Coturnix japonica: one gene and its partner. The protein of the gene in region 2 interacts with the protein of the main gene of each other region in a pairwise test. Links are inferred from orthologs where the notes say so. Each region holds a gene or a part of one and is shown on either strand. Other genes may lie near its edges.

The links.
Region 1: the proteins of C23H1orf216 (region 2) and AMOT interact in binary tests that used the Homo sapiens proteins (3 or more experiments, as listed by UniProt). The two-hybrid records come from large-scale screens. The link is inferred for Coturnix japonica from reciprocal best matches to the Homo sapiens genes C1orf216 and AMOT.

The regions. Positions count from the first base shown.
Region 1 is NC_029519.1:12,294,892-12,298,540, reverse strand, and holds part of AMOT (angiomotin), read right to left. Parts: intron 1,670-3,649; coding exon 1,547-1,669; intron 904-1,546; coding exon 671-903; intron 1-670.
Region 2 is NC_029538.1:3,768,248-3,771,996, reverse strand, and holds C23H1orf216 (UPF0500 protein C1orf216 homolog), read right to left. Parts: upstream 2,505-3,749; 5' UTR 2,337-2,504; intron 1,635-2,336; 5' UTR 1,621-1,634; coding exon 904-1,620; 3' UTR 204-903; downstream 1-203.

The sequences.
Region 1 (3,649 bases), on a different chromosome or scaffold from region 2:
TGGAGAGTAGCAGTGTTCTCATGTTGCTGCATGCAAAGATTAGTGAGCTGGCACTATCATCCTACTTCCCTGACTCTGAGCAGTTGCTCAGTTGCAGATGGATAAATCTGCACACCCTGAGATCAGCTGCAAGAGATTCTCATTTACTTATCAGAAACTCAGGGAAGACTCCTGGGTCCAACTTCTTTAGAGAAAGAAAAACATCATCTAAGATTCCCTTTGATACAATTTCCTTTCTCCAAACAATAGTGCCGAGCCATTCCAGACAAAAGTCATGTTAGTGCAGGCACAGCTCTACAGGATGGCAATCCTGATCTGTATCTCAGCTGGCTGAAGGAGACTTTACACCCTCAGACAGCTGTAACAGCCCAGCTGAAAGCAAGTGCCTGGGAACTCTGAAAACCAGATCTCAAATACTGCTTTTATCAGGTACCAAACCAAGTGGGAATTAAAGCTGAACAATTTTCATGACTGAGCTTGGATATCACAGCTTCCCCAAAAATGATTAAAGCAAGCAGCTGCTGCAAGTGTGTTCCATTCTGCTTGCAGGCAGTTTTCCTGCATGCTAAGCCAGTCAATCTGTCTGTCAGATATCTACTTTCTGCTGTTCCTGCCTCCCCTATAGGCAGAGACTGGTGTATCTTAATCACCACCATTATTTAAAAATTACCTAGGCTGCCTTTCCAGCTCTTGTCCTCCCTCTTCTCTTCCAGGATGGGAGTGCTGCTCAGCGTGGATGAGTGGGACAGCAAGCCCGAGCCAGCATTTGAGATTGACATCAGTGACTTGGCAGGCCTCATGGAGGAGAGCTGGTCCGTCTTACCAGGCTCCTTCCGGGAGCGCTGCTGCAGGACTTTGATCATGGCGTCCTTCTCAATGATCTGAGCGTGCAGAGTCTTGATCCTTTTTGAAAAGGACAAAGGACAACAACATGCTTCAACTTCCATCACTTTGGACTGAGGCCTCAGCACCCCACAGCTGTGACTAGAACTCCCCTGGGCATTCAGGTAGGCATGGAGAGGACACCTCGAATACTGGCTGTTCTCTGACACTACACGGCATAGTGTATGAGGCCTCCTGTACATCTACATACAAAACTTCACTGAGACACCCCCTCACCTTTGGCTACTGGAAGCTGCTCTAAACAGGCAAGGAAGATGCTCTGAAGCAAAGCTGAGAGTTATGGGTGGGACATGAGGCCAAAAAAACAACAACAAAAGAATATTCACAAAGTCTGGGGAGTCTGCAACAAAAAATCCCTGCGATTTCCCCTGGGGAAAAACAACTCTGTGAAACAATAAAGAAGTGACTGGAACTTGGGGTCTGATGAAGACGGCCTGAAAAGAGAGGAATAAGCTAGGCACTAAATTGAAATACAGGTTTTGCATTGCTGTGCAGTTACTTCCTTGGTCAAACAAATGTCTGGCATTCTACATTGTTGTGACTGGTGAAGACACGTGAATTTCTGGTTCTGAGGCATCTACCTGAATAATTCATTTAAAATCCTTGTCCTAAAGTAGTCAAATAGGGACAAACTGCATTTTACCTTCCTTCCATGTCCAGACACCTCCTGTTGGCAAGCAGGATCTCTTCCTCCTCCTTCTGAATGCGAGCTTCCAGCGAGGTGTCATAGCTAGGGTTAGGTGAGTGGCTGATCACTGTTGTGTCCCTGGGAACAAGCAGTAGAGCAGATGAAGGGCAAACTAAGCATGCTGTTTTCCTCCTAGCGGTGCTAATTGATTGCTCAAAAGTAACAAGAACATCTACTGTTTCTGAGCCTAGGCTGGCTCAATGTCTTTTGAAAATCCCACTCCCAGGCGTAATGAAAGAAGGATTATAAAAATATGCAAATAATACTAACAACAGTCAACTTGCTGTCTATCTCAGGCCAGTCTATGATCTAACTGATGCACTGTGCTAACTTAAACAGACGGATGGGGCAAATCCAAGGGAAGAGATGGGAAAAGATAATATAAAATGTTAGTCACTTCTCTTCATCTGAAAAAGTACAAACTTTGCTTCAGAAGCAAGATTTTTTCCCCTTCTCTTCCAAGAAGTGGGTATCTGAGTATCGAAGGGAACTACGCACTAAAGTTTCTTCAGCATTTCTAAGCAACTTGATCCAAAAAACTTAAGAGTGGGCTGAAAACAGTTTAAGATCAATTAGTGCCTGACGTGTACACTGTAATGGTTGTTCATTCCATTAACCAAAACATGTCATCCTACTTGTTGCTGTACAGTCAGAATGAAGATACTGTGCTATGCTTTATACCACTGTATGATTCCTAATGCTTAAGAGCATGTTACTGACATAGCTATGTGTTAACATAGTATTAATTAAAAAAACAGTTGGAGTTACCAATAGCTGCAACTCATTGTAATTAGAAACTTACTCTCTTAGACCCAGCAGCCCTAAGAACTGACTGATAAATGTACATTTAACCCTGCAAAAGTTCAGACCAGGAACAGCAACAAATGAGTCTGAAGGGCATAGGAAGGTCACTCATCAAAGAACCCTAACGTGACCTAGATTCCTGCCTGTGCTGTAAAGCATCCTTCCTGCAACCCCGTCTTCCTAAGGGATGCTATTTTTCACCACCAAAGAGAAAGGAAAGCAAATTTGTGCACAGTGTAGATGAGGTTACCGTTGAAATTAGTGAAATCCCTTACAGCCTGTTTTTGAGAAGGCTATAATAAACTGCATGTAAACTGGCAGCGGTACTGATGGAACAGTTTATTTTAAGGGAGAAGGAGCTAGAAGGAAACGGAAAAGTAGGTTTGCTCTTTCCTGACTGGAAAGCATTCTTTGTTCATTTAACAAAACCCGAACAGGCCTAACACATCCCCTCTCACCCCATGATAAACAATAGACCAGACCTCTATTTATCAGTGCATGCTGAAAATATAACATAGCCTCGAGGGCCAAGCGGTATCAAAAGCCTTTAAACAATCACTGGGGAGGCAGAAAACAGTTCACAAGAAGCATCAATACCCCAAAATAACAGCATGCTTGGGGAGCAAGGTAAGTCTTTAACTGCTAACACAGCAGATCTGCAACTTTGCCCCTGTAATTTCAGTATGATCTTATGTGCTAGGAAGCCAGCTGCGATAACATCCCCATTTGAATCTCGTCTGTGAAACAATCTAAAATAAAATCTGCTGTTAAGAAACTGAAACTAGTGATCAATGAAATTACATGTAAGCACTACCTGAAGTTAAAGAGTTGCTCTCCAATAGCAGTGCTTGTTTACAAGCGAGCTGAAGACTTGGGCCTATTTATAACCATAATAACTGCTTCTATACAGCTGCATTGGAATGTGAGCTTGTTACCCAATTTCAGACACCCTTCCCTTCCCACTCCCACAAGAACTACTCTCCACACACAGCAGAATGTTTTGAGCAGAATTTCCTAGTAGATGCTTCTGGTTAGTAACCATGTGGAGGACAATACCACAAAGTAATTTGCAAAAACATTCTGGAGAACAAGCAAGCCATTCAGGGCGAACGATGTGAATCACCAAACTCACCCCATCCCACATGACTTCAGCAAGGACTGACTCCTGTTTGAAAAGAGAAAAAAAAAAAAGAAAAAAAACAACCCCAACAACGCTCCTCACACATCTATTTTTGAAGCAATAGCTTCTAGGAA
Region 2 (3,749 bases):
CGCTCAGGTGCTCCTATCTCCATCCCATCAGCACGGAGCTGGGCAATGGGGGCTGCAGCCCACGATGGGTGCAGGAGAGCAGAGGGAATAAGGGGGTAACCCAGCGGTGCTCAGCCTCCCACAGGGACAAGGCACAGCCCAATGCCCATCACAGCAGCAGCTTCAATGGTCACAGCAGCACTGGAGAAAGCACAGCACACAAACACAGCGTCTCCTTTTTAATCTCTATGTAAGAAGGGCCGTCCTTCATACTTCCCATGCAGCCCCCGCTGGTTAAAACAGGCATGAGGAAAGAAAACCCAAACAGCATCTTTGCTTTAAGACAACAATAGAATGCAATGAGCACAGCTTGGCGAGCAGCTCTGCGGCCATGCATGGTGCTAACACAGCTCCCCCAGCATGCAGATGTGCATCTATATGACCTGGTCAATAAAAAAATAGCAATAAATCAAAACCAGCTCTTCCCTAACACTGAACTGTGAAATAAGAGCGCAGGGTTTGGGGCCTGGTGATGCTTTATGAGTATTTCTGAGCATTCTGAGGTCACTTTTCAGAGTGATTCTCTCTCTGTGCACTTAATGCATGAATGCAGCTCCTCTCTGCTGCTGTGTCTGATGGGCTGTGGTCAGTCCTGGGGACAACCCAGGGCACCGTGCCCCAATGCACAGCAGCACATTGCACTGCAGGGCAATGGGTGCACACATCAGGTGTGAAAGGAGAAAGGCATTAAAGCTCTGTGGTTAATGGGATGGGCTCTATAGGGTGAGCACCACAATGCCCAGCATGGGGCTGACACAAACCCCGTGCACCAACATCACCATCAGAGCCAGCACTCAGCCCTGATTTGGGTGGAGAGCTGCGGGGAAGCAGAACGGGATTCAGAGCGTGGAATGCTCGCACAGCTCAGGGGCTGGGGGCAGCAGCGGGGCACGGCGCTCCGTGCTGCATGCAGCGGATCAGCTCCTTGCGGTTGTCCAGGATGGTATCGAAGCTCTCCTGCAGTCGGTCCTGCTGCTCCAGCACCTTCTGCTGCAGGCCGTGGATCCAGCGCAGCAGGGCCAGGCGGCGGTACATCACCAGCTGAACGTGATGCTTCTCCTTCTCCCGTTCCTTGAAGCGCTCCTTCTCCTGCAGCTGCTGCACCGCCTCCGCCAGCGCCGGGAATAGGGGCTCCGGGGGGGGCTCGGACACCTCGGGGGGGTCCCCGGGGGGATCCCAAGCGCTGCCGCAGGCGCTGTCGGGGCTGTCAATGCTGAGCGAGCTGCTGGCATAGCCGATATCCTCCGCCGGGGATCCACCCAACTCCCCCTCCCCGACCTCCGCCCCCTCGGGGGGGCTGCGCTCGCCCTGCTGGGGGGCACACGCTGAGCTCGAAGCGACGTCCCCCATCCCGCCCGGAGCCATCTGTCTCTGTGCTAACAGCAGCAGATTATCGGAGGGATTTGCAGTGTTGTTTTTGCCCCCCCCGTCAGCCCGGCTCCAGTTCTGGTTGTTGTCGCACTCATCGTCCCCTGCGAAGTTGCAGTTGGAGTCGGGGCTGCGTTGTAAGGACCCCGAAAAGGCTGAGCTCAAAGCGGGGACCCCCGGGAATGGGGCGTCGGGGGGGCACAGGGCGAACATCTCGGCGGTGCTGCCTGCAAAGGAGACGTGGGGATGAGCCCACAGTGCGGCACCGCATCAAAGGGGGGACCCGGGTTTGCAGGGATAAGGGAGTTTGTAGTGCTGAGATTTGGGTATCCCTGCGGTGGGGATGTGGGTCAGCCTCCTCCATCACTTGCCCCGGCACATGGAGGCAGAAGGGCTCTCCTTGCCCCAGGTCTTTCCTGCTGTGTGCTGGTGCCCGAAGCGGTGCCCAAAGGAGCGGATGGGACAGAGAGGGAAGGGAGAACACCGTGCTTATCTCCGGAGCATCAGCACGGAGAGCGCTCCCAGCGCTCACAACAACCACGTGAAGGATCCCCGTGATCGGCCCCGTAGGGATCAGCCCGGTGGGTCGGGGGGTCCCATGGGGCAGCGCTGCAATCAAGGAACACCCGGAGCTGCCCACGGAGACCCCCGAGCCCAACCCCCGGCCCTACACGGCACCTCCCCGAGCCCCCACAGCTCCGTAGCGATGCGGGATGACCCCCATCCCTCCGCCCCGCATCGCGCACCGCACGGGGACGGGCAGTGCGGGGCCGACCCGCAGCCGGGCGTTCCCGAAGGCCTCGTGTTGGGATGTGCGGGGCAGGGATGGGGATGCTCGCACGGATCGAGGCTGCGGGAACCGGCGCTGATCCCACCCTCAGGACCCCCCCTAAAGGATGGAGCCGCCCCGCAAAGCCGCCCGCACTCACCGGGGCCGCTCGCAGCTCCGCCGCCGGTGGGAGCGGAAGCGTTTCCACGCGGGGAGGTGCCACGGAGCCGCACTTCCGAGCGAAGCTGCGGTCCCCGCCGCCGTGGGCAGAGGGAGGGCGGCGGCTGCAGGGAGGGACCCGGCTGGGATGCGGTGCGAGGCGGGCAGCCTCAGCATCACCCGGGGAGGGGATGGGGATGTTGGGGTGGTTGGGGTTGGGGTCGTGGGGTGCTGCCCCCCGTGGGATGCGGGTCGCGGTGTCCGTGGGATCCCAAAGGGACCCTCGCGGTCCCCCCCCGCTGGGAGCCGTCTGTCTGCGGCATCAAACGGGAGGGCACGGGGGGGGGGGGGTCACATGGAGCCCCGCGGGCGGTCTGTGGATAATGAGGCTCTGTGGGGTTGGGGTGTTGTGGGCAGACGTTCTGCCGCTGTATTGAGAAGGCTGGGAATGGGGGAATAGCGCTGCTATGGGTTAAATCTGATCTGCTGACTCCTAGAAGGCCAAGAGATCAGCGCTGCTCTGGCCTCAAAGAAACCCCATAAGGACCGAGATGGGCCCTGGGGTTCCTCCCTGCACAGCACGAGGTGAAAGAAACAGTGAGCATCCAACCCTCCCCTCTGCCTGGATGTCCAGCCTGGCTGCACAGCCTCACTGTGCTGCAGCCAACCCCATGGCCTGGGCATCAAAACTGCTGGGAGTGATGCTGAGCAGTGATGGGGGGCAGTGGTGGGACCCCACTGTGCCATAGGACCCCTATGCCATGGCCATGGTGTCAGCTGGAGCTCCGGGCACAGGGACATGGGGAGTGGGGACACTGCTGGAGGGGGAAGGAGAGAAGGGAGGGCTCGGGGCTGGGGGAGCTTAGTGGTGGATTTCAGAGCCATTTTCCCCTCCTCTTCCCCTACAATGCTCCAGAAATGAATTAAAAGCTCTCCCTTCAGGAAATTAAAAGCTACTTTAAAAGAGCAAGAGCAGGATTCAAAGGGACGGAGTTATGTCCTGGGTGAGATGAAGGCCATTCATTGCACAGTGTGGCTCCAAAAGTCCCTAAATCACATTTCACCCAACTCCTGGCTCCATGCACTTGCCCCATGCAGGACCAGGCTGCCACCTGCAGTGCATGCTCACTGTGTGTGTGTCTGTGCATTGCACGGCCATGTGTGCATTGCATGCTCCTGAGCCAGCAGAGCAGCAGGCAGTGGTGCATTGGGGAGGCTGCGAGCAGGGGGAGGTGTGGGCTGGAATCTGCAACACCAGGAGGCAATGAAATGTGGTTGGGGTCCCATCAATTCCCATCTCCTGTGGCCACGGCCATGAGAGGACATGCTGTGCCATAGGGATGGGGTGGGTATGGCTGGGGACACCCAGGGCCCTTGTGGGGTCACCACCCACTGCAGGGACCCCCATGTGGAT